Linked DNA regions of Caenorhabditis elegans. The gene in region 1 interacts genetically with each later gene. Each region holds a gene or a part of one and is shown on either strand. Other genes may lie near its edges.

What was found.
Region 2: of lin-3 (region 1) and lin-45, changing one enhances a phenotype caused by changing the other (phenotypic enhancement), as found in Caenorhabditis elegans (one large-scale study listed by BioGRID).

What each region holds. Positions count from the first base shown.
Region 1 is NC_003282.8:11,053,587-11,066,363, reverse strand, and holds lin-3 (Protein lin-3), read right to left. Parts: upstream 8,551-12,777; coding exon 8,496-8,550; intron 7,066-8,495; coding exon of another isoform or gene 7,023-7,065; intron 6,966-7,022; coding exon of another isoform or gene 6,960-6,965; coding exon 6,720-6,959; intron 6,672-6,719; coding exon 6,507-6,671; intron 5,956-6,506; coding exon 5,874-5,955; intron 5,827-5,873; coding exon 5,700-5,826; intron 5,537-5,699; coding exon 5,414-5,536; intron 5,297-5,413; coding exon 5,208-5,296; intron 4,741-5,207; coding exon 4,465-4,740; intron 4,418-4,464; coding exon 4,306-4,417; intron 4,251-4,305; coding exon 4,164-4,250; intron 3,271-4,163; coding exon 3,193-3,270; downstream 1-3,192. Other genes in the region: ttr-17 (Transthyretin-like family protein), read left to right, coding at 167-283; ttr-16 (Transthyretin-like protein 16), read left to right, coding at 2,250-2,397, 2,446-2,579, 2,626-2,742; F36H1.12 (Dynein light chain), read left to right, coding at 12,730-12,777.
Region 2 is NC_003282.8:6,740,239-6,753,459, forward strand, and holds lin-45 (Raf homolog serine/threonine-protein kinase), read right to left. Parts: upstream 8,187-13,221; coding exon 8,115-8,186; intron 7,577-8,114; exon of another isoform or gene 7,483-7,576; coding exon of another isoform or gene 7,462-7,482; intron 7,221-7,461; coding exon 7,050-7,220; intron 6,888-7,049; coding exon 6,705-6,887; intron 6,654-6,704; coding exon 6,531-6,653; intron 6,479-6,530; coding exon 6,218-6,478; intron 5,859-6,217; coding exon 5,559-5,858; intron 5,509-5,558; coding exon 5,385-5,508; intron 5,212-5,384; coding exon 4,997-5,211; intron 4,952-4,996; coding exon 4,829-4,951; intron 4,612-4,828; coding exon 4,353-4,611; intron 4,307-4,352; coding exon 4,210-4,306; intron 4,161-4,209; coding exon 3,749-4,160; intron 3,228-3,748; coding exon 3,000-3,227; 3' UTR 2,300-2,999; downstream 1-2,299. Other genes in the region: Y73B6A.3 (TransThyretin-Related family domain), read right to left, coding at 1-44; smg-7 (DNA/RNA-binding domain-containing protein), read right to left, coding at 368-933, 986-1,091, 1,139-1,200, 1,254-1,366, 1,416-1,516, 1,719-2,066, 2,112-2,192. UniProt on the Caenorhabditis elegans protein: Protein kinase that participates in the induction of vulva and has roles in fertility and viability. Acts downstream of the Ras protein let-60. Required for progression of developing oocytes through the pachytene stage.

The DNA.
Region 1 (12,777 bases):
AAATACGCAAATCTACACAGTGCAAATACTGAGCGTGGTTTGAAATGCAAAATATAGGCGGTAGGTATTTAGGCACGTAAACATGCACACCTACTTAGCAATAGCTACTTCGAATATAAATTTGAAAAACTTAATTGAAGAAATTTAAAAAATGTTATGTTTCCAGGGATGTGAACGCGTTTCCGAATATCAAATTCCACAAGAAAAAATCGGAGAGGTCTATGACATGACTTATGTTACCCTTGATATTATTGTTCATGGAGAGAAGACCATCTGCAACTAATTATGATTTTTTTGTTTCAACTCATATAATTGTATGTACATAAATTCGTATTTTACCCTAAAACGTTTTGAACTATTTCTGGTTTTTGTTTTTAATTGATTCGGAGTACAACCCCCTGCCAACTGACGAAAGAGAAACTTCGGGATTCCGGAATGATTGGGCAGTGGAGTGGAGTGGAAAAAATATGTTCAGGAAGGTTGAAAAATACGTCGAGAGAAGGTTACGTAAGAAGTCAAAAGAAAGAAACAATTGAAGAGTGACAAATAGAACGAGGACAAAAAAATAATTTTCTTGTCGAAAAGAAGTATAACTTTTAAATTTGGTCTATTTTGATACCTTCCACAGAAAGAGTAAATTCAGAAAATAAATATATATAATAAAAGTTAAAAATTTCCAGAATCGTTTTGTGTGACATCGGCAACTACCGCAGCTTTCCAGATTTCAAGTTTTTCTGAAGATTCTAGTTACGCAGATCTGACATTTTAAAATTGTTGTTCTTTCAGCATTGGAATAAAAAATGCTCAACTTATAAAAGGTAAACCTATACAGTTAGAAAATGATATAGTGCTGGCTGCACACCAAGCTGTAACACGATCGTGTATATGTTCTTCTGGATATCTGACTTGTTTTTCGTTGATGTTTCAATTTTTGTGAATCATCGTTCTTTGTTACTCGAAGTCCGGGAAATCTGGGCATTGCAGTAGAAAGTGGAAAAAATACTATATTAAAAAACATAGGTCAGTACTTAATTGAACCCCTCGAGAAATAAAACAAAATTCATTAAAAATAAGTTTGAACTGTTTATGAATTTATATATAATTTAAAACCTCATTTTAATGTTCAGAAAGCTGAATTAGAACTTCGAAACTATGAAATCATGAAACAGTGCTAAACGAAGAAACCCTCCAGTTTTTGTTGTGATGTTTAAAATTTTATATATTGTCTGACGCATTCACATTTCAAACATAAAATTCTGAGATTCAATTAGAGGGATCAATCACCAACTGGCAATAACATCAGAGACTGATCTCAAACTTTAGTGTTCGAAGGATTATCAGAAACTCAAATTGCTCTTTGTGAACATTGATTTCAATATCGATTATGTTTTTGAAAATTGTTTTGCATGCATCTAATCTTGTAAACATATCAATAATCAAGTGTACAAAATGATCATTACAGCTTTGTTTGTTTGTTTGAAAGACTGGAAGCGGATATCACTACATCCCACGTAACATCACAAAAACTATTAGCCTGAAAACGAAAAAAAATTCCAGTTGAAATATAGAAATCAATCCAATCTGAATGTATTGTCAATAATAAATATTGTGAATCAAACGGAAACGTAATATAAAAGGTACAGCGTGAGCCTGTAATATGACAGCTGAAACTGTACCGATTTTCGATAAGGTATTTCGCAGACGCACGCCTCCCCTCCTATAGCCCGGAAAACGCCTCCGATAAATATGATTTTAGATAAAATTAGAAAAAAAATTAGGGTTAACATGTAGGCGCCAAACGCATGCCTGACATTAAGGCGACGGGCCTCCCTCACGCCTCAACTCGCGCTTTCTGCCAAAATGCAGAAAACCCTGATACCACACCCTTCTCCCATGGAACTCCTATGTGGATCTGATTATCAGAAAAGAAAACTTCCGTATGTGCACAAGATATTCTGAATCCAATTCCTCCCCCGTATAAAAAATGAGTCATAATTATATTTTGAAATCTTGATTTTGTTTTTCAAGCTTGCCAACCCATTATCTAATCCCTGATTACTTGTTGTTGTTTCTGATTCAAGTTCTCATGTTGTCTCATGGCTGGCTGTTGGACACGCCAATTGGCTCTCGTTTCTTTGATTCTATTGGTTGATTGAAGGGGGGACAACACCTGACGTTAATCTCCAAATCTCAATATAAATAGTGAGCCCCAACACGACGCCAGTCACCTCAACAACTTATTGTTGAAAATGCGCTCGCTCGTCGTGTGTCTCTTGCTCGCCGCTTGTGCTCTTGAATGCACAGCCCGTCTTCAGAATGTTACTGTTAAGGGAGTTGCCGTGTGCAATAAGAAGAGATTGGCAAATGTTGAAGTTCAACTCTATGAGAAGGACACCCGTAAGTTCATTGATAGAACTTTTCTATAAATGTATTTGTATTTTTCAGTTGACCCAGATGATCTTTTGGACACCAAGAAAACTGATGCTGAAGGAGAATTCAGCGTTTACGGAGAAGAAGATGAGACTCATGCTATTGCCCCATACCTTTTGATTACCCATAGCTGCAACCCATCTAAGCCAGTAAGTCAAAATAAATAATGGAATATATTTATTAAAATAATTCCAGAACTGTGTCCGCATCGGAAGGTACTTGGTGCCAGAGGACAAGATCGGAGGAACCTACGACATGACCTACGTCACCCTCGACATCAAGGTTCACGGAGAGAAGGAAAAATGCCAGTAAAAAGTGCAAACTTCCTGGATTTTATTGACTATCTAAATATATATTTTTTCTATATGATTTTTCTCAATTTTCCATTAATAAAAACATGAAATAAATGTTTAGTTTTTTCAACGAGGACCTGAAGAGACTAGGGATCAAAGGAAATTACAAAAACGATGCAAATATTGTACCCGTTGGAAATCGAGGAGTTGAACTGGCAAAATTATACAAATTGTCACAGGAACTGAGAGGGAGAGTGAGAGAACTATAGAACATTTGGGTGGGATATAATAGGGTGCCAAATGCAATCTATAAAACATGTAGAACGATATGAAAATAGAGGAAAAAAGAGAAAGCGAAAAAATTTGAAGAGACCAGAGATGTTTGAGCAGTGGTAAATCACAATTATAGCACAGAGAAGTTGATGAAAAAAGAAAAAGATAAGACAAAATAAGGAAACAAATTATAATTTCATGTGTGTCGAATCATTGGTTCACATGTTGCTGGTGATCCTTGTTCTCCAGAACTTCGAGACGGGGATCGAAAATTCTGAAACTTTCAAATGAGTAATCATTTTATTATTCAGAGGTTAGATTTTGCGATTTTTGCACAAATAATACGATACCAGGTTGAACTGCGTCTTTTAAGATTACTGTAATCATTTTCCAAAAAATAAACAAATGGATGTAACCCGAAAAATGTATTGTATTATAATCAATGAAAATTTCGTAGCAACGAGGGGTTGCAAAAGACAGTAATCTTTAAAGGCGCAATTCCGCTTGCAGTTAAAGGCGGAGTACAGTCATTTTTAAAAATGTGATCTAAATGAAAAAGGACCGTAATAAACAGATATAACTGCTAAAAAAGTAATGAAAAAACATTTGAGGGATAATTATTTTTGAATTTGCGACTAACCTGGATTCGACATTTTCACTTTTATGAATAAATTCGTTGGTTTTTCTCAATTTTTTTTTTCAATATTTGATTTGAATTACTGTTTCTCAATTTTTCAGACAATTCTCCGCGCAAAAAATATTAATTTAAGTTAAATTATCGATATTTTTGCCAAACTAGTAATTTCAACGAATTTCTTTCGGGGGTTATTTCAAGTTTACGGGAAATTGTCTGAAAAATTGACAAACGGTGTTTACATCAAATATTGAAAAATTAGAAAATATTTTCCAGAAATCATTCCATCATTTGCGCGGTAATTCAAAAATAATTAGCCTTTTTTTAGTTTTTGCAAAATCCAAAAAATCATTAAAGATTTAAAAAACTTTCGTAAAGTTTTTTAACAGTTATATCTGTTCATTGAGGTCTATTTTTATCATTTGAAGTGCATTCAAAACGACACAACTCCACATTCAACAAAAATTTGTCGTGGAAAAAATCGCATTTGAGTAATATCACCTCGATTCTTAGTTTTTAAAAACAATAATTACCGTATCTGCAGAATCCAACTCGATATTAATTACAGTGTGCGCCGGTGGTGGACATGTTACTGATGCTTTTGAAACTTCTGATTCAGTCTGAAATGTGCGATTAATTTATTTTCAAAAAATCCATGAAAATCGAAAAACTGACCGACTGATATGATACTGTTGAAAAATCAATGTGGCCAGAGTAATTAATTGCTGAAACTTCAACACGTGGCACTGACTTGTAGTGCTTCGGCGTGTCGTCGTCATTGATACTCCTGAAAGTTCATTTTATTTTGAAAATGAATTTTCAGAATTTTGATACCTGGATGGAATGGTACCTTGACTTCTGAGAATGCTGAAAAAGTTGTTCCGTGCTTGTTCATTATTTCGAATAGCTTGTTGACGAGTGGGTATTCTTGATCCAGGAGTTGATGATATATTTGGAGGTACTGTACCCGGTGTTGGGATAGTATAAGAACATGATGGAATTTGATGAACTGGAATATGTCGTCCATTTGGTGTTTTGAGGACATTGAATGCTTCTGGTGGGCACATATGACTCATTGTATATGTCATATCATCCGATCGTTTAGACATTCTGAAACATTTATATAGTTGTTTTTGAACAATTTACATTAAAATGTTCGAAAATCTTTAAAAAAAGATGCTTAGAAAATTAACAACAATTTCAAAATATTATTAAGCTGTGTGTTGATTAGAAAACAATTTTCCTAACATAATTTTCTTCTGAAGAGAGGAGAAAAGAATAAACTGGCCAAAATTCAAATATATTTTTCGAAACATTGCATTTTTGTATGCAAATTTTTTTCGATTTTTTTAAACTTGAAAATCGAAATTTTTCGTTTTCCAATTTTTCGTTCTTCAGATATTTCAATATTTCAAAAAAAAATCAATTTATCGGTCATTTTTCTCCTTTTAGAAAAATGCTATTTTCTAAGGTTTTTTCTCATCAAAATGAACAAAATTTCATAATATCCTGAAATTTTTTCTGAGAAAAAAAACCGAAAATTTACCAAGACTTCAAATTTTTGATGAAAAGTATACCTTCTATAAGCATAAACAACAATTGTTATAAACATGATGAGCATGACAATGAGAAATGCGAACGCAGGAATAGCTGATGTTGAAGATTGCTGAAAAAAAGTATGAGCAAATGCAGCATTTTAAAATTTAATTTTTTTCATATTTCGAATATTCTAGATTGACGAATAATGTGGACATCAAGCCCATTATATAATTTATATTCTCACCACAATTCTCTCATAAAGCCCACTGAAAATAGAAGAAATTTCAGAATCTTGACTGGAAGGCGTTGTAGAAATCGTTTGATTTGGATGATGAACCATAAAAATTAATGGTTTTTTCGTTTTTCCCTAGAAATAATTTACAAAAATGATATGTTTCTCATAGAAAACCATCACCGCAAACAAACCAAAAAATAATTAGATGAGAACATGCTACATGCAACTTAATTAGGGTTTCACAATAAGGGTATTTTTGTTAATTTTTTTTGTTTAGATGAGAGATTATAATTACTTGAACGAGGAGTTGCGCCGTGCTGCTCATCGTGCTCAAACGTACATTATATCTGCCGTTGATTGGGGCATAGAACGCCTGAACGTAGTGACGATCACAACGAGTGCCTTCCCAACCCTGTGGACAACTGCAAAAAGGATTACTGTACTTGCTCATAATTGTTTCCAGACTTACTGGCAAGAAGGAACAACTGCTGAAACTCTATCTTCACGGAATATCACTTCCACGTGGCATGTCGCGTTGTGATGACAGTAGTCTGAAAATTATTTTTTTTCAAGATTTTAGACTGAATTCATTAATCTATTAAAGAACTCCAATTGCATAAATCCATTTGCAAGGGTGTCGATTTTCGGAAAAAAACACCCGTTTTTAATTATTTCAACAAGCAAGAATCATGGAAAGATGTCGTCGAAAACTTTTTCTATTTTTTGAAAATCGAAATAATCGAAAAATTCATTCATTTGAAATCGAAAATCGTTTTTAAATTTAAATTTTTGAAAAAACTAAAAATCAAAAACTTTCAATTTTTTGTTGGTTTTTTTTTTTGAAAATTCAAAATGTTCGGTAATTTTCCTATTTTATAAAATACATTTTCGCATAAAAATTGACATGTTTTTAAGAAACCTAGTTTTCTCGTTTTTTTAAACATACATTATTTCCAACTTTTTTCAGTTTTTCAATTTTTTAGATTTTCAAAAACTGTTTGTTGAAATAACTAAAAAAAGGGTTGGTTTTTCCCGAAAACCGAGAAATCTGAAAAATGGAACGAAAACTCAAAAGGTTTTTCAGACCTAATCAAATGGCTACCTTTGCATTTTGCTTCTTTCAACTTCTCGATTTCCTTCCGAACCGCCGGTTTAAGAGTCGACGTGGCATCTTGAGTGGCATCTTCATTATATTTTAACGCTTCTTCTACTTCTTCATCAACCTTTTCATCTTCATATTCACCCTCATATTCTGCTTCTTTCTCGACTGAAAAAAACAAATTTCTGAGATTTTCTCTATACATTTAAGTATTACTTAATTCTTTTGCAACCTCTTCAGTTCGTTTTTCATCGTCTCCAGCTTCGGAAATCGTAGTTTCAGTAGGTGTTTCAGGTGTCGAAGTCGACGACGGTGCATCACCTATTTCGTTTGTTTCTAGAGAATTTCGAGAAGTATCGGGTGGTACAGAGCCACTATTTTCAGCTGCATTCTCTGCAGATTGAAGCTGTTCGGGAGCACTACGTTCTTGACGAAACCACGAAGGGAGACACGATTCTGAAACTTTTATTGATATTTGAATGGAAAATAATAATCTTTGTTTTGATATTATAGACATACCAAATGCGACTAGAAGTCGTTCAGGAATCGATTTACCGAACATTTAAATTTTTCGTATTCAAGAAAATATGTATAATTTTCTTAATATTACTTTTCCAAAAATGCCTGAGACATTGGTAAGAACACCTGTGTGTACAGTTTTCAGGGTCACAAGAAAAAACCAGCATAAAATACACAGGTGCATTGAATAGGGAGAGACGGGAAGTTCTAGAATTTTGAAAGTACAGAAGCTCAAGGATCCACGGAAAGAAACTTGAAGAATAAAAAAAGTACGATTTTATTTCTTTGTTTCTAGACTACTGTAGATTGGTTGTTAGTCTTTTTTTGAATTTGTATTGTGATTATTGTTCTCGACATCTACATTTTTTTGTCAATTTATCAAATTGCCTGATTTCTTTAAAAATCTACAATAATTAATGACAAACCATTCAAGGGACCATTTAAATTCGAATATGTAATAACTGGTATGTACATAGTTGGTGGTAAACTCGTAGATTGCTGCCAATATAGGTGAAATAAATACCGATGGTAGTATTGTCAAGGGTGTTTATGAGGGGGTGCATACAACATTTTGGCGGTGTTGGCGGGTACTTGAATATTTACGATCACCTACTGTGCATTGCTGTATGACCTCTTCAATTTGCAACCGGGTAAACGGAAATTATCACAAAATACGGCTATTCGCCAGACGCAAAATTTTGCAATTTTCGCCCCAAAAATACGGTCCGTGGTCTCGACACGACAATATTTATTTAATGTAAATAGATGAGCGCCTTTGAAGAGTACTGTAATTACAAAATTTCGTTGCTGCGGAAATTTAATCAATTTTTTAAAGTTTTTCTTACGATTTGTTAAAATTGGTGTGCTTTTATAGTTGTTTTTGAATAAACAGACAATTTTTTATCGGAAACCAGTTTTAAAAATTCGGCAAAAACGGGAGTTTGAAATTACAGTACTCTTTAAAGGCGCACATGCATTTAATAAAAACTTTTCGTGTCGAGACCCAGTACCGTATTTTTAGAGCAAAAATCGAGAAAATGCCTGAACAGGGCTGTAGATTTTTCGTGTATTTGGTGGAAAATTTATTTTTCGATTTTTTGGAAAAAAAATTAAGCGAAAAATGCTGATATACTGAAAAATTATAAATGTTTAAATTTTACAACTTTCCAAAGAATCACACTGGAAATTGTGAACATAAATAGTGCGATTTCGGTCAAAATATCGTTTCAAACTAAATTTTTCATTTTCGTTTTCGAAAAAAAATTCCCTGCTCCTGAACCAATCTTTTCTCATAGTCGTTTGTGGCGATTTTTATTCCATATGACAATGTTTAGTGCACTAGACAAAAAATGTGTAGAACACGAACACACATGTGGTTGTAGTGTCAAATATCATTCGATCCGTTCAATATGTTTTAAGAGGTGTGACGTTCAATTCCAAGTAGAACATCATTTTTTTTAAATGAAAAATTACCTGTAAATTGAGGCATAAAGAGTAGAAGGATGCAAAAAAGTAGCATTTTCCGCATTTTGGAAACTTGTGGGCGACGATATCTGAAATAATTTTTTTTTTTGGATAATTGTTGAGAAATTTAATTGAAATACCTTATGAAACAGGAAAAATTGATGCATAAGGGGTGGGAAGAACACCGACAAGCCGACGATCCGTTATTCTGAAAATTAAAATTTAAAAAAATTGGGAATTTTTTAAATTTTTAAAGAGAAACATAAGGAAATATTGTGCAAAGAATGCGAAATTTTTTTACGGTACCCGGTCTCGAACCGGCCGATTTTCTTGAATTCCAAAGAGCGTGTACCTTTAAGGAGTACTGTAGTTACCAACTCCTTATTGTTGAATTTCTTCAAAAAAAATTGATGGTTTTAATGAAAGAAACAGGTAAAAATTGTGAAAAATCTGATAAAAATATCCCAACAATACAGGGTTGGTAACTACAGTACTCCTTAAAGGTGCACGCTCTTTGGAATTCAAGAAAATTGATTCCGGCTACCGTAATTCTTTCTTTCAAAAAATATCCCAAAAATATATAAATTTATAAAACTCAGAGACTCTGATGGCCATGATGATTCACATGAACTTTCTGGCTACCGCACTAACTGTATTTCTTAACTGATATTAATATCACAGTTTTATACAAGGAATGTTAGCTGAGAGCAAAAAATAACAAAGAAACATCAGAGAAAACAGAGAAAATCGTACAGTCTAGTAGTAGATCAGCTAACTGTTAGAGAAAGATCGGGAGAAGTGGGAAGCTAACTGTTGATCGGAAGAGTAATTATTGCGAAACAAAAAAGTTATGAAAAGAAATCGAAAAGAGGTTAGCTTTGACCCTGGGAAAATCAGTGGCTTCTTGGTGGTACTTTTCAGTGGCATGAGTCAGTCAACGATGGGCGGTTCGAGAAGAGAGCAAATAGAGAAGATGCGCAGTGATCTATTTTGATGGTGAAAAAATAACTACAACATATTTTAAATTTAATCTTTTCTATTATTATGGGGATTCAGAAAGACAGTCATTTTAGAATCGACGTTGAAACGCTCCGCCCACAACCCATGGGTCTCGCTAGGTATTTGGTGGAAAATCCGTAAATTCAAGCGTTTTCAATTAGTTTTGCCAATTTTTGTTATTTTTTATGTTGTTTTTGATTATTTATAAGCCGAAATAATTTTTTGAAAATTCGTGTAATGTTGAAAAGTGAATAAGTTTTAAAAAAATTTGTTTATGAACTTTATTTCATTAATTTCCAAATGAAAATCAATACAAAGAAAGTAAAATAAATTTTTAAAAATTGACAAAATCGGTAAAAGTAATTTAAAAACTCTGAATTTACGGGTTTTCCGCTAAATACCTAACGAGACCCATGATTCGTGGGCGGTGCTAATTGGCCGTGGGGAACGATTCCACGTATATTTTAAAATTGGGAATTTTGTTTGTTCCTATAATATTTTCGGAATCTTCCAGGTTACTGTAACACTGAACAAACAAGAAAATGTCGAACATGGATCTGATGGAAGTATGGATACGGATGAGTTGAGATAAATTATAAAATATGTTAATCAATGTCCACTTTGCAAACAATTCCTCAATTTCGAGAGATAAATGTTCTTGTGTTAGCAACAATTTTCAGAATCTAGGGAATTCCAATATAAAAAAACAACTCGATGAGCAATCACTGTTTGCATTTTGCCTATTTATCAGGAATGAAAACGAGACTATTTGGGAAAACTGGAGGAAACATTAAAGTGTATCAGAAATACGGCGTATTCCTTTTTCACATGAAATCGGATCTTTTCAACTTTGACACTACTTCTGGTTCTTCCTATTCCAGTTTTCAGAAGATTCTAAGACTTTATGAGTCAGCCAGTCAGCAAGTTTGTAGAGAAGCGAGGAGACAAATAGAAACAGTAAGAGCACATTGGCTCAGAAATTGGAAACAATAGGAGAAACAGGAGGAAATGGTAGCGGGAAAAAGAGAAGCACTGCGCAATTGAGAAGGTCGGAAAAAAGAAGGAAGAACAAACAAATAGTCGGGAGAGGAAGTAAGGTGAAAAAGAAGATCGACCTTCGTGAAATACGTGGGATATCAGAGGATATGTCTAAGATTCAGAACTGTAAAGATCTATAATTCGAGAAAATGAGGGTTTCTCATTTGATTATTTACAGTTGAGTTTCTGGGTTTTTGTTTGATTATCACCTTTATTGCATAATTGGTCGCTAATCTTTTGATTTGTCGCTTTTTTTTTGCAATTTTTGGGCACGTTCACGAAATTTAAAATTTTAGCAACATTTAGTTTTTATTTTCGAAACTCGAATCCGCCATTAAAAATTTTTTGAAACTTTTGTCCGAATTTTTCGTGCTAGATTTGTAAGTTATCCAATTATATAATCGTAAATTGAATATATTAGTATCAATTCGTCCTTAAAAACAATAACATTTATGGAAAAAGTACGCAGAAACGTATCAGCATGCAAGAAAACCCGAGAAAGGAAATATATGGGAGGTGCTTGTATGACCCACGAAAACTAAAATGGTCAGCCGGGTGGTCAAGAGTTGTGTATATCGTTTTCTGATTCAAAATTCAATAAAGACAAAGATATTCTTTGGAGCAGAGAAACTCTAGCGCTAACGCTTCAAAAAAACTACTAATTGTAGAAGCAGCGGTTTGATTTATGAGACACAATTTGGTAAGCCGCCAAGGAATCCAGTGCACCCCACAGGAGTAGGATTTAGAGTTATTATATCGGCAGAGGCTTATTCTAAACTCGAAAAATTGAAACTGTGAATGATAAAAGACTAGAAAATTATTTAACCAGAGCAAGATATATAGATATAAAATATCGGGTTCTATGGAAACGGTAAAAAGCCAGGTAGGACATTTCATCTATCCTCCTAACATTAATAAAAAGAAATCGGATACTTTGTGATGAATAATTTGGAGTGAATCCAGAGGAACATCTTGCACACGAACGGAAAGAAAAAGGCTGGTGGTGTGAAGAGCTCGTTTGACTGGGAGAGGTGGCAATAAATAAGCAAATGTGCAGAAGCAGGTGCTCTCTTAAGTTTTGCGATGATGATGGGAGCAAATTGGAAAACGATGGAATAGGGTTTCTCGCACTTTTCTATAACGAAATGGTGATTCTTTTTTTTTTGATAAAAGATAAAAGCTGTCATAGAAGAAATCTCGAACGATCCCAAACTTTAGAGATTTCCAAAGAGATAACCACCTATTCGTAAGGATTTTCACACAAAAAATGACGGAAACGTTGACAAATTTGAACCATCCGGCCACCCATTTTCAATAGAGATGAAACGACAATAGCGATGAAGACGTCTCGGACCATTGCCGATTCGTTCATTTACCTACATTTTCATGCATTTTTTCTGTTTAAGACGATTTTCAAAATTTGGAGACATGTAAATTACATTTTTAGAAGTTTAAGGAAGAAAATAACTCACAAATTTTCAGCATTGAATACCCGTTGAGTGGCGATGTGGTGCCGATGGCTATGTACAATCTGGAATTAGAAAAAATGATTGTTTCTTTGGAAAACTGGAAAATAATCAGAGAATTTTAATAAAATATTCATTTGATAACTGATAAAGATTAAAAAAAATAAATATAAAAAATTAAATTATCTTTGAAAATTTGGTTGATCAAAACTTACTAGAGACAAGGGAAAATGCAGAGACGCAGAGGAGAGTCCAATGGAGCACGGTCGCAACATCTTCAAAATTCGAGTCACCACTGATTACGAGAACTGGAAACATGGAAGAAATGAGTTCCGAGGTCAGCCAAGCAGATTTTCCATTATATTTCATTTCCAAATAAGTTACTTTAAGAAGGAAAACACCTTATAAATAAGATAAGTTTCTTTTTTGTTTCTCTTCCGGCTTCCTCATATATTTCTCGAAAACAACTTCCTGTGTTTGTAGTGTCTCTGTTTGTGTTGTGACCGAAAATATGTCTACAATAGACGTTAAATGAGACAAAAAATAACACTATATGTAAAAAAATAATGAAGAAAGTTCAGAAATCGAACAATTGAGAACTAGTTATACAAGTACCCTAAAAATTAATATAAAAGAATCAAGAATGAGACTTGAAATCGGTCATTTGACGGACGAACACCATGTTTCTGAAGTTGGAATTATTGTTGATACTGCTAAATATTTCCCTTCTCTATTGTGCAATGACAGCAGTACAACGATATGCAAAGAAATTTAATCCGAAAATTATA
Region 2 (13,221 bases), 4.3 Mb from region 1:
ATCAATGCAATAAGAGCAATGGCTACAAGTAAAACTCGAACCATTATGATCGCAACAATTGAATGAATAAACTTTCGCCCCGTGCAACATTTATAGGTTGGCGTGGGAAGGCGGAAATGAACAAGGAAGAGATTATACAAAAAAGTGTGAAAATTGCAATTTACTAGACTATAATCCTCATGAATAAACTATTCGTTCATTGAAATTAATCCGAACTTTTCAACGTTGTAGATCGTTTCTTTTTGCAATAGACCAAAATTATATTAATTTTTTATGTAGCATGAAAAGAAAAAAAACCAAAAATTATGACAATATGTTCTGGAATCAATGGAATTATATCACAATTACACTCGAAAATATGATATCATTAAAATTCATCTTCATCCGTTTCGACTGATTCGTCTAGATTCGGATTTCTTCCACGCCGACGGCCACGTTGCAAAACTTCCTCATCCGAAGATTCAGATTCAGATTCAGGTTCCGAATCCTCGTTTTGAATTCTTGAAGTGTCTGTAGAAAGGCTTTTCTGATCTTCTTCTGGTATTGTTGATTGATCGGAATCTTTAGATTCATCTTCATCCTCTATTTCAACTAATTTCTGAGCCAATTGAGTTCTAGTGAGTGGATATTGAATTCTTTGAAGACAATGAAAATATCCAAAAGCATCAGAATCCTTGATTTTCTCATCACAATTTGCGCATAGAAGCCATTCGCAAATTGATGTTACTTCATCTTCAGTTTGGTCTTCAATACCGCGAAGGAGTTTAGGTGCACAGAGTAAAAGTGCCAGAATATGAAGAAGATGTGGAACATCTGCCAGTTTTTTTGATTCCTCCTTATAATCATCCAAAGTTTTCAGGAGACTTCGGTAGGCCGTACACCAAATAGTTTTGACATACTCTACGGCTCGTTGTTCAAGTTCAGTTCCGTCCTCTGAAAAATTTTAATGTTAATGAAAACAAAATAAAATTTAAAAATAACCAACCGAGATGTTTATATACAGACATTAGAGGAACAATCATTTCTTTTGAAGTTGCAGCTTCTTCTCCAATTTTTTGTAGGTGCACAGAAGAATCTTCGATTTCTAGAAGCTGAAATCTGTAACCCTTGTATACTCATCTTTCTGAATTAAACTCACGAAATGAATTCTTCCTAGGCAGGATAAATATAGATCTTTAATAGGCATTGGTCTTGAAATATCTGAAAACAGACATATTTTGATATCTAGGTTTTCAATGAAAATCCTACAGTACCTCGATTTGCAAAATTTTTGAAAATATTCGTTAAGCCACCAGAAGCAGTTGGGAATTCCATAGTGGCATGAAGAGCTCGTGTATGAAAATAGACACTTTCCAGGTTTTTTGCACTGAAAATTGTAAACTTTTTCCTGAAATCTATGGAATTTTGAATATTACCCAAGTGAAGATATCAATCCTAGCTGATTCCAGACAGCTCCATCAGCTGGATTAATGCGGCATGATTGCTCGTAATATTCCTGAGCTTTTGGGTAGTTCTCCTGAAAATAAATGTTATATGATTTTTCTAAAATACTACCCAAACGACACCCTTCGCTCTTTAGAATTTTTTGGTATCGAAAAATTAAAAATTTCGGGTTTTTTTTCGATTTTTCTTTTGGTCCATGTTGGATCAACTTCGAAAAACGAAAAACAAATTTTGACATCATTGTTTCCAAAATTATGAAAAAATTTCAAAACTACCTTATATCTCATTAAATCTCCCATTCTTAACAGAACATAAGCCATGAACACTCGACTATTCTTTTTCGACTTGATAGGTTTTCTGTTTAGAAATACATCTGGTGTCCATGTTAATTGTTTTGAGATATCGTTTCCATAATTTGGAATTTCATAATGATAATGAACAAGAAGTGATAAATCAGTCAAAAATCCAATTGCAAGATTTTGAACATTATGATTAACAAGTCGATCATTTTCCATTGCTTTTGTTATTTCATCCATCATTGATTTCAGTTTATTCCAGAATTTTACATCGAATCTTTTGGATACAGCAGTTTCGAAGTCAGCGACAAACATTTTCATTAAATGCTGGAATTATTCTCATTTCGATAAATCAACACCTCTCAATCTTACTCTCAAATACTGTGGTGCAGCTTCGGTGCCACGTGGAATTTTTCTCAACTCTACAGTAAGCTGTTCCCATTCGTCCGACATCCTGTGGAATCCTCTGGAACAAAATTGTTTTGTTTTTTTTTCAAATTTTAAAATATTAATCTGAAATCCTACACTTTTTCTAGCCACTCAAAAGAAGAAACAGGAAGTCAGGCGAAAAATTATTTTATCTTCAACTTTTTTTGTTTGCAAAAATTAAATGATTCAAATAACCCGGTTCAGAAAAGGAATGGGGATGCTGCATTTTGAAATTAAAATAAATGGAAGTTTCAAAATGTGTTCGAAATGACAAAAACAAAACGGATAGGCATTGGATTCTATATAATTCTATACATACAGAGAATCTTTGGGATGTTTGGAAACGGAAATGGGGTGGGAACATTGAAAACTTATCAAAAGAAACGTTTTCAATAAAAAGCATTATAGTTGGAAAAGAAAAAGTTCTACCGGTTTAGCCGAAACAAAAATATGAAAATTATCACAATTTCACATGGGGGAACGATTGCAGGCGGACTTAGACTGGAAAGAAAGTATTTTGGTGGGATTTTTAAGTTTTGGAGGAAACGGTGAATACGGGGTTAAAATAATAATAATAATATCGGGATGGGTGATGAGGGGGTGAATAATAGAACAGGATTCAATGTGACGAGAAATGATTAGTAAAATAACGATGGGCGAGATTATTCTTCGACTGGAAGTTTTTTGGTTAGTGTACACATGGGGTAGGGAAAATCACTGGGAAGAATAGAAAAAAGAGAGAAAATAAAGGTACATATTCGGGGAGAGACGAGAAAATCAACTAAAAAGTTGCAGTGTCCCTTGATTTTCAAAAAAAAAAACAAAATAAAACTAAATGAGACCATAGACATTGTAGTATGCCTTCTTGTTAGCAGCGGCCGCTGCTGCTGCTGATTGTGGGGTTTTTGCAGTTGCAGGTGGAATATATGACCAGGAAAGCATTTGGCTTCTCATTACAGCATCCATCACCGAATATTGCGAGTCTAAGTGAAGAACATTCGGAGCTGATTGAGAACGAGTCAATTTTGGAAGAATTATGTCGCGAAGTCGTTCGAGAACCTGAAAAATTGGAATTCATTCATTAAAATTTATTTAAAAATCAAACTACAATATTTTTTTGGATTTTTCAGTGTAGTGGAGTTATTCATGAGCGAAAAAAATGTTTTTAAAAAATACATCGATTTCTTAAAAGCATGTTTTTATCCATTTTTCGACAGCGTCAAAGAGTGAAAAATCAAAGGAAGCCACCATATTTAGACAAAACTGCCAATTTTAAATGTGAAAAAAAAGAGCGAAAATGTGTGAAGTACTGGAAGAAAATAAATTCCGAATTGTCCTCGCGGTGTACACGGGGAGAACGCCCAGCTCGTAAATTTACACAACTTTTGAAGAGACATAGTCATATGAAAACGTATGGTCTCGCCGCATGGCGGCTTACTGTAGTTTTTCGCTCGTCGACGCTGTCGAAACATGTACAAAGTACAAAAAATCGATTTTTTAAAAGTTTTTTGACACTCATGAATAACCCCATAATAAATCATAGTTCTACCAAATTTCTAAAGTCGGTATTTCCCACTCACCTCTCCAAATACTGGCCGCTCATTTCTATCGAACATAATGCAATTGTCATATAATTTGAGCATGCTCTTCGGCGTATCATGTCGAATTTTCGATCTATCCGGCCTCAAATACCCTCTTCCAACCATAAACAATATCTGATCTCGATTATTAATGTTGGAGTATGGTAGATGCGAAGATAGAATTTCGTACATGCATATTCCAAAAGAATACACATCAGACTGTGGGGTATATGGATTATCATCTTGCATTCTGATGACTTCAGGTGCCATCCAGAGAATACTTCCTGTTGGTTGTTGTTGCTGTTGACCTCCGTTCACTGTCCATTTCGTTTTGACAGTTGCCAAGCCGAAATCTCCAATTTTTACCGTTGACATGTCATCCATAAGGAATATATTGTTCGTTTTCAAGTCACTGAAATGTTTTAAACATTTAAACATAAATTATAGATATGGTCAGTTACCGATGAATAATATTTTTTGAATGTAAATAATTCATTCCAAGAGACACTTGCTTCAGTATATCAATGATAGCACCCATTTCAAATTCGACGCGTGGCTCTGAAAATTATTAAATTATAAGAATTAAAATCTCAGTTCAGATCACCTTGAACATGAATATGTCTATACAAACTCGATCCTTCACACCATTGAGTAATAATTGCAATTTCTGGTTCTCGAACCCATCCCATAAACAGCAAAACATTCAAATGACGTGTTTTCTTTAAAACTGCAACTTCATTTTTAAAGGCTGCCATTTGAGAAGGCGTCGGATCAACAACATTCAGCTTTTTTATAGCAACAGTTCCGAAGAATTCTCCACGATAGACGGTACCGAAGGATCCCGAACCAACTTTGTATTGAATCTAAAAGAATGCTTGTTTTAATAGTTTTGACAGAAGTTTTGAGCGTTTTTTTATTGCTTCAACTGTAAAAAAAAAAGCTATTTTCAGATAAATAAAATGTTTTTTTTCTATATTCGATCACTGAATTTAAATGAAAAAAATTAGGATAACATGCTCCTTTTGTAGAACTGCCGGTTTGCAAAAGCCGTGCACCCTTGCTGATGTAGAATAAACTTACAATAAATTCATTCGGCAATATTTCCCAATCCTCATGATGTGGTTTCTGTGGCGGCCTGGGTCGTTGTGCATCAAGTCGTTCGCCTGGCGATCGACTACGATTTCGGAAGAAACCAGGTGAAATCTAAACATTTTTAATTGAAGAAAAATAGATTTTTTTGAATTCTACCTTCTGAGGAGGTGCTGATTGTGGTGGTGTTAATGGGAGAGTATGCAAATGAGCGGCTACTAATGATGACGTCGTTGATCCTGATACATTCGGGGATTGTCCAAGAGTAGGTTGTCCGATTAAGCCACCTGGAGGTGATGAACATGTAGATGAAGGAGAATTCGAGCCAAGAGGAGTACAGTCAACAAGTGGGTGAAGACGATTCATTCGAGCTCCTGAATAATTGAGAATAAGTGAAATTAAAATAATTAGAGTCGTTTGGGAAATTCTTGAAGGTGGAATAGAGTAAAAATTGTTTTTATAACTTTAGAAAAACGTCTTAAATTTGGAATTTTGTTTTTCTTCCCTGACCTTTTGACGAATCGTTATGTTTTCTGTTTTCGATTACCTGACAAAATATGTCCACTCTGGAAATGAGGTCGATGACGTGCTTGTGTTGAAAGTAACGATCCAGTTTTATCTCGTGATTCTTCTTCTAATCGCTGAGCTTCCAATGCATCAAGAATTCTTTGCTGAAAATAATACATTTTAGACTTTTTCTTTTAAAATTGGTGACTATTACATTATGTTGAACTGTTGCCTCATCATTAATCGCATTGATATTCGGAGCAGAAGAGCTCCGATCCCGTGGATAAGGTCCGGATGGAGATAATTGAGATGTTTCATTCTGTGGAGAAACAGCCATTGGATGTCTTTTGACACCACCCGTTCGTTTAATACTCGTCAAATCTGGATGAGAACTGTCTGGTGTGGCAGCTGGACTTTGTCCACTCGTTGGAGCTAGATTAGCAAGAACTATTTCGGCAACTGATCTATCTGGGCCTTCGACTTGTGATGCGATCCCAAAGAGTTCTTTCACTAGCTGAAAATTAAATGTTTTAGATAAGAATTGTTTCTGAAGCAGAGGTGAGCAATTACGCCATGTTGTTCCAACATTTTTCATTAAAAATCAGTGTAAAAAATATATAGAACCACCTTAATTATCTAATGATAACTTTTAATTATGTTTAAACATCTATGAAAATGCACAAAAATGACCTAGAAGTTGCGAATTGCCTATGGCAAATGGCCATTATTGTGCATTTTCACAGATCTTTAAACATAATTAAAAGTTGTCATTAGATAAATAATGTGGTTTTCTATATTTCGACGTTAATGACAAATGTTGGGACAACATTGGTAATTTTGTAATATTGCCGCCCGCCTTTGTTCTGAACGCACATCTTCATTTTTCGGTACAGATTGTAACAAATCGCAATAAAGTGGTGCAAACGATGAGCATCTTTGATGAAATTTGAATTGACAAAATTCACATCGAAATCCCATCATCCAGATAGGATTATTGCATACATCACATGATTTCGGTGGAATAAACGTTCTTCGAACAATTGCATGTTTAATCGATGAGACTGTATTCAGATATTCTGAATGAACCCATAATTCATTTCCAGGCAGTCGGGATGCGATCTCTTCCATTGTCAGCTGAAAATATTCAAAAATAAGAATTATGCTGTTAGATTCCAGTAAATCACACCGATAATTCAATAGATTCTTGTTTTGGGTCAGATGACGCGTTCACGTGACATAATTGAGGTGTGATATTCCGTTTTTTGAGCAATTTCGAAATGGCATCCCGCGCGGTTTCACCGGGACGAACCTGAACAAAATGTGCTTATTTTCTTCGTTTCACAGTGAATTTTTTGCTTACTTCAACCCTAGAATGTTGATCAAATGGCAAATGAACCATAATCATTTTGTATTTGAATTTTGGCGGTTCCTTGTCACTTGTTCCTGCTCCTCCAGCGGAATGATGTCCAGATAACGAATGAAGACTATCACTGTGCTTTGGATAAAGAGGAGTTGAAGGACTTGCCATCGGCGAAGCTTGATCCTGAAAATAATTATGAGTTACATATAAATATTTAATTGATAATCTTTGGAATGAGAAGTGGACGCTTGATTCTGAATTGAATAGATTAACACGATTCCCCACAAGTAACATGTAATTAGTGTTAAAAAATTCAAGACAAAGGATTCGTTGCTAATTTTCTACCTTCCGATCAATAGATGAAGAAGCACATCTCGGCAGACTTATAAGCCGCGGAGATGGGCAATGTGGGCTCGTCGGGGTGGTCGACGCCGATGACTTTTTGAAATTAATCCGACTCATTCGGCGGCGTGTCGACGATGATGATGGCGTTTGAGATGATGTGACAGGTGACTTCTAAATTGCTGTTAGTGATTACATGTAATTAAAAAACAAAAGGACAATTTGGACGAGTAAAACATTAAACACGGACTTTTAAAGGACATTTGAGAAATCAGAACAAGCAATAAGTAAATTACTTTTCAGATGCTCTATTTTATTATTGTGAAGCACTTTTTAAAACAATCTGAACAAATAAATGTTTCCCTTTAGCATTTTTCACTTTCATTTTATTTGTGGAAAACGTTCGAAAACACACCGTTTCGCGAGAGCATTCCATGTGAAAATTGCAGTTAATTCCAAAATAAAATAAACCAGAAAATCAATATATTCGCAGATAGAAGGTCAACAAAAGAAAGAGAGCGGCGGTAAGGGGCGCAAAGATGATTTTTTTCTTTTCCGAGAAGAGTACACGGAGGGAGTTAGTCCGCGGGCCGAACACACTTTTCTCTTCCATTTTCGCGCAGAAGATTTTAACCCAGATTTTGCAGGGTTTATTAGAATTTTCAAATAATAAGGACAGCGTTGCGCTCGGTTATATGAATTTATGTAGATGGAGTGAAGCTTTAAATAAATCTATTATTAATGGAAATATGGAATACGTTTATTTTCATTAGTTGATAAATTAACTTTTCAAATCTACAGTAACTCGATAGCTGAAAAGAAAAGTTAAAACTTGTATTGAAAAAGATGTTACGAATGAAACGTGGGATTCCCATGTTCAAAAAAGGAATCACGAATGTTCAATTTGCTGGCCAATTAAACAATTGTGTTCGCAAAGTTTTAAATGCAATCGTGTATTTTCTCAATACAGAAGCCCCGCGGGTTGCTTCATAAAGTCATTTGATTATTCAAATATCACTATGATTTCACAGAGTGTACCCTATTGATTTAAATCAGTTTTCAACTTACTGGTGCCGATTTCCGACGATTCCAGCCTCCATGAAAGTGACAAACTGAATACAGTACAGCCATTGCAGACATTTTAAAATGTTATGTGATCAATTATGGAATATAATTATCTCCAGATAACTTTAGAAGAATTTCAGAAAGTAAAAATATATTGTTAACAGGGGCCCCTTTGGATCCAATGGTTCTCTTCACACACAAAAAAAGAGAGGCGGGGTTTGTTTTCGCCATCTATTTTTTCTCACTGGTTTCTGTGCTCTGATCGAGAGAGATAGAAAAAGAGAGCAAAGAAAAAGAAACGTGTAAATCGGGAGCGACACGTGCCACGAATAGGTTGACAATGTTTTCAGCGTTGGGTCTTAACACGAAACAGATGACCTTAGTTTGTGAAGAGAGCAGCAAGTTGATTTGAAGAAACAAGGTCATACGTGACAAAACACAAACTAGAAAAGAATATATTCGAAAAAAACCACTAATCAAATTATAAAAGAAGGAACTAGATGACATTTGGTTAATAAGCTACTTCTAGTTAGTACACCCCGAATTAGCTGTGAAAGTTGAAAAAACGGGAAAAGTTTATCTGAAACTGACAGACTAGACAAATGTCTGTGACATATTGCAACTAAGATTTTGCAGAATGTGGACATTTTTGAGAAAAAAGGGATTACATGACTCAACTGATTACCTTTACGTTATGGTAATTTTCAAATTTTCTGAAAAGTGAACTGATCTGTTAAGATTGGTCTTGCCACGAAAAAATAGTTCATTCTAGGATTTAGAAAAATTTGGTATCATTTGCTTCCTTGGAATCAACTTAACTTAAGTATTACTTATCAACTTATTATCTTAACATTTGTCAACTTTACCACTTTTAAACAGTTATTTTGAAACTAAATTTTCGAAAGTTGGAAAGCAGAATAAAAGCAGCTGGCATCACGGAGATTAAAACATATGTCTTAATGTGTTTTCTCGCGACGAGACCCATCTGAGTTGATACATGTTTTGAGGAATAAGCGTGAGTCTAAAAATCTATTTTGAAAAATCTATGAAAAAAATCCAAATTCTACGAATAAAAATCAATGGGATCGCGCATCAAATGTGTTTTGTTCGTTCCGCCTCTTCATTCCACTCTATTCTCATCTTTTTCCGCCAATTTCCACTTGAAAAGTGCGAACAATTCCTCAAAAAAGAAACAAAATACACTATATTCCACATCAAAGAGGTCATTTTTCTATCAAATATTTGTTTTGGTTTATCAAAAAGATTGAGGTTCTAAAGATTATTATTAAAAGTTTTAAATAAACAAACTACGAAAGCATTATTTTGATCTAATGTTGACTATACAAAACTTTTTCAAATTTCTTTGATCACTAGAATTTCAAAAAAAAACCTATTTCAGTATAATTGTAGTTCGCAAAATAACAATTATTTTCATTTTAATGTGAGATATCGTAGTTCTTAATATAGATTTTCAACAGAAATTCAGAAATTTGGCTTCATCGAAATTAACTTTGAATCGTACATTGGGACGTCCTGTCTTCAGAAATTTTCAGCCGACATGCTCAAACGAGCTCCAAAAAAGTTTAAAAGTATCTATTGCAAGGTTTTCGCCAGCTTTAGAAATTAACACCAAATCTACCTCTACAGTTAAAAGTTTAAGAGCATTGGACATTTCAAATTGAACGCTATTCAAAGATTATAATCAAAGATTATAATCGAAAAATCGATTTTTCGATTTTAAACTAGATCCCTTGAAACAGTGAAAAAATTTCTATGTTTAGTCGCTCAAAAACCTCTTCATACTCTGTGTGCTCGTTGTACTCAAAGTTTGTCTTTTTACTACATTTTGTATAGTTCGATTGCTTTTCCTTCCTCCTTTCCATCTTTCCCTTCTTGCTCTTTTGCTCCTTCTGGTCACCAAAAACATCATGATCATTGATTTTCTCAGCTTCTCTGAGTATCTTGAACTCTACTGATCTTAAATCAGTTCGGTGCAAAAGAAAACGAGAAAGAAATGAAGAAAAAGAAGAAGATATATGTGTATGTGATATATTTATTGTTTGAGTGATTTAGTGACAACAAGACTCGGCTGACTTTTGAACTAGTTTTTAGGGGGCTCTAGTTATAGATCAACTGTAGATAATACTAGAAGTGGGCGCATGATGCACACATCGCCAACAAAATCTGGTCAACAAATAAGTTTTGACATATTTTGTAAGTTTACGATTTGTCTGAAATTTTGTATGGGCTACTTACATATAGTGTGCAGTTAGTATATACAAGCCTACAAGTTTTAGCTAAGCTTCTTGGTACTTTGTTCTGAAAATATGTAACATTACTAATTTTTTTGCGATATTTTGGATTAGGCCTTTGAGTTTTGATGTTAAGTAATAACTAAATCAATTATGTTTTGTTCGTAGATGAGAAAAATTCATCACAACATTTCATCAAAATTGGACCACACACACAGAAATTTTATAGCAAATGAGAAACAGTGAAATTTACTAAAAAATATTAAATTTTTCCGATTATATTTTTTCGTTAAATATTTAACTAGACAGTGAATAAGTTCAATTAATTGCATAAAAAACAATTTAAATTTTTTTCAGATCAAACAACTAAGAAGCTATTAGCTGAAACTAGCTGAAACTTTTAGGATTGGATGTCCTAACTGCTATATAACTCACCTATACAAAATTTGAAAATAAACTTGAATTGACCATACATATACGTCTTATTTGCTGACCTAATCCAATTAATTGTAGAAAATTTAATTTTGATTTCTAAACTTTTACAGATCTAAAATTAAATTGACACCTGTTTTTTTTTCTTGCTATTTCAAAACATTTTTCAAGCTGACTACAGAAATCTATATGTTTATAGTTGAAGAACAGTTGTTCTAGATTCTAGAACCTCACTCATTCCAGGTCAATAACTCAAGAAAAGTCTTCATGTCCTTCCATCGTCAGGTGACCCAAGACACCCGAATTCATAAACTACGTCAAATGTGACCCATATTTCATCACTAAGTCATTGGAGAAGATCAGCAAAGAAAAGTGAAAAAACATTCGAGAAGGACCTAGAACACATGCACCTCTCATAAAAGACGGGTCGGCGACGAGTCACTTTGCTCGTTTTTATTCTATCTTTTCGTTTCAAGCAAAAAAGAATGAAAGTTAGTGTAATTTTTCTGGGATCTTTGTGTGTGTGTGAGCTAGATAAACATGCACATACGGGTCCTTGGAAACCCGTGAAAACAATTGGAAGACACTTGATGTGAGGGAATGAAAAATATGAAATTGATGACAGATGATGATTTGGACTTCGAAAAGTTCTAGTGATCCTACTGTAATTTTAGCAATATATATATAAAGGTGTAAGAGGCACACTTCCGGAAAATCTTGCGTCTATAAATTTGTGGCTTCGTTCAATCGAAACTGAGTTGTTCTAAAAATCTTTGATACTATTTCAGTTTGTAAATCAAAAAATTGAAAATGGAATATAACACTCCTAAAACCTAATTGTCTACAAGAAAACCATAACTCATCGTGTAGGCGACCTACGCCTACTTTACATTTGTTCATGTATTTACGGAAATGTAGGCATAGGTTGCCTTCGAAGTTACGCCTGCCGTGCGGCATGTAGATTAAATGAAAATTTGAAAACTTTAAACTTCAACTTATAAAAAATCTTGAAAGTTGCTTAAAAATCTGAACCAATACATTTTTGAAGCAAGATTTTATGTGACCTACAACAAACAAAAAATAAATTTTGAAGTTAGGTCAATCACGCAGATTAAAAATTAACAGCCTGAGTACCTACATGTGAGACTTATTTAACACCTGATGCCTATGTTACATATAAGTCCTCGCGGTAAACTAGGCTACCTTGTAGGAAGTCAGGTAGGTATTTTTGTATCTCCATCGATGACTTACCACTATCGAGATCTAACAGTTAAATTTATAATGTTAAACTCAACTAGAAAATCAACTAGAAATACGGTCTGGAAAAACCAAGAAAAAGTTGAGAAATTGACGCTTTTTCAAAGAAAAATGCATAGTTCCAAATCTTGAACGGTTCCTTTTTGATCATTTTTTCTTAATTTTGACTAAGACTACTATTAATAAATACTAATTTTTCAGAAAACATCAAATTGTATTAGAAAAAGAAAAGAAATGATTTCTGTTTCACCACTTTTGTAAAATCCTAGACAAGTTTGTAACATCTTTTATGAATTCATTGTAGTCTTACAACTCGTGATTATCTTTTTCCCATAAGAGTAAGATCAGTCATGTTTAATCTATCGAATCTCTGCACTTTCCCCCTAATAATTCCCATGAAAAGCCACAATCAAAAATCATTTTGCAAAGTTACAACTCGCGATGAATGAGAATTAAATTGGACACATGGGAAATGCAGAAAAAAAAGAAATGCAGAAATTTAACACAAAAGCATAAGTGAGCACTCTCCTGTTTTTCAACAAAACGGGCGCCACGTTACCAAGGCAACCAATGAGAGCTTCCGAAAATGGGGAAGAGAGTTGGAGAAAATGCTTGCATTTTTTGAAGGAAAAATAGTTTATGAAAAAGAAGAGAGAAGACAAAATGAAGGGAAATAAAATAGGGAAGAAGAAGAAGAAAATGAATGTGAATAAAGGATAAAATATATTTGGAAGAGAAGAAGATATTAACTTTTTTTTAGGGATTCTAATGAAAAACTGAAATGAGAGAAGATCGGGAAATAAATACATACTTGTTTGAATTCTAAAACTTTTCAAAACTGGCAAAAAGTTTCAAAATTGTAATTTCAAATTATTGCACATACAGGTTATGTCTATTAATTTAAAAATGAACGGTCTCAATAAGTTGGATGTTTTAAAAGCTTGCATTCATTTTGTCAAAGATGTCACATTGTTCTGGAGTTTCTGCACAAGAACAATTGTCCTGGAATTTCAGTCCTGGTGGATGCGAATTCCAGTTGAATTTTTGGCTTTTTGGCATTTTGCAACGAATTTTCAATTTTTAAAAATATTTCTAAACACACTTCTCATAGCTCAATATGCAATATGACCGACTATCATAATGAATAGAACACTCCAACACAGTTTTGG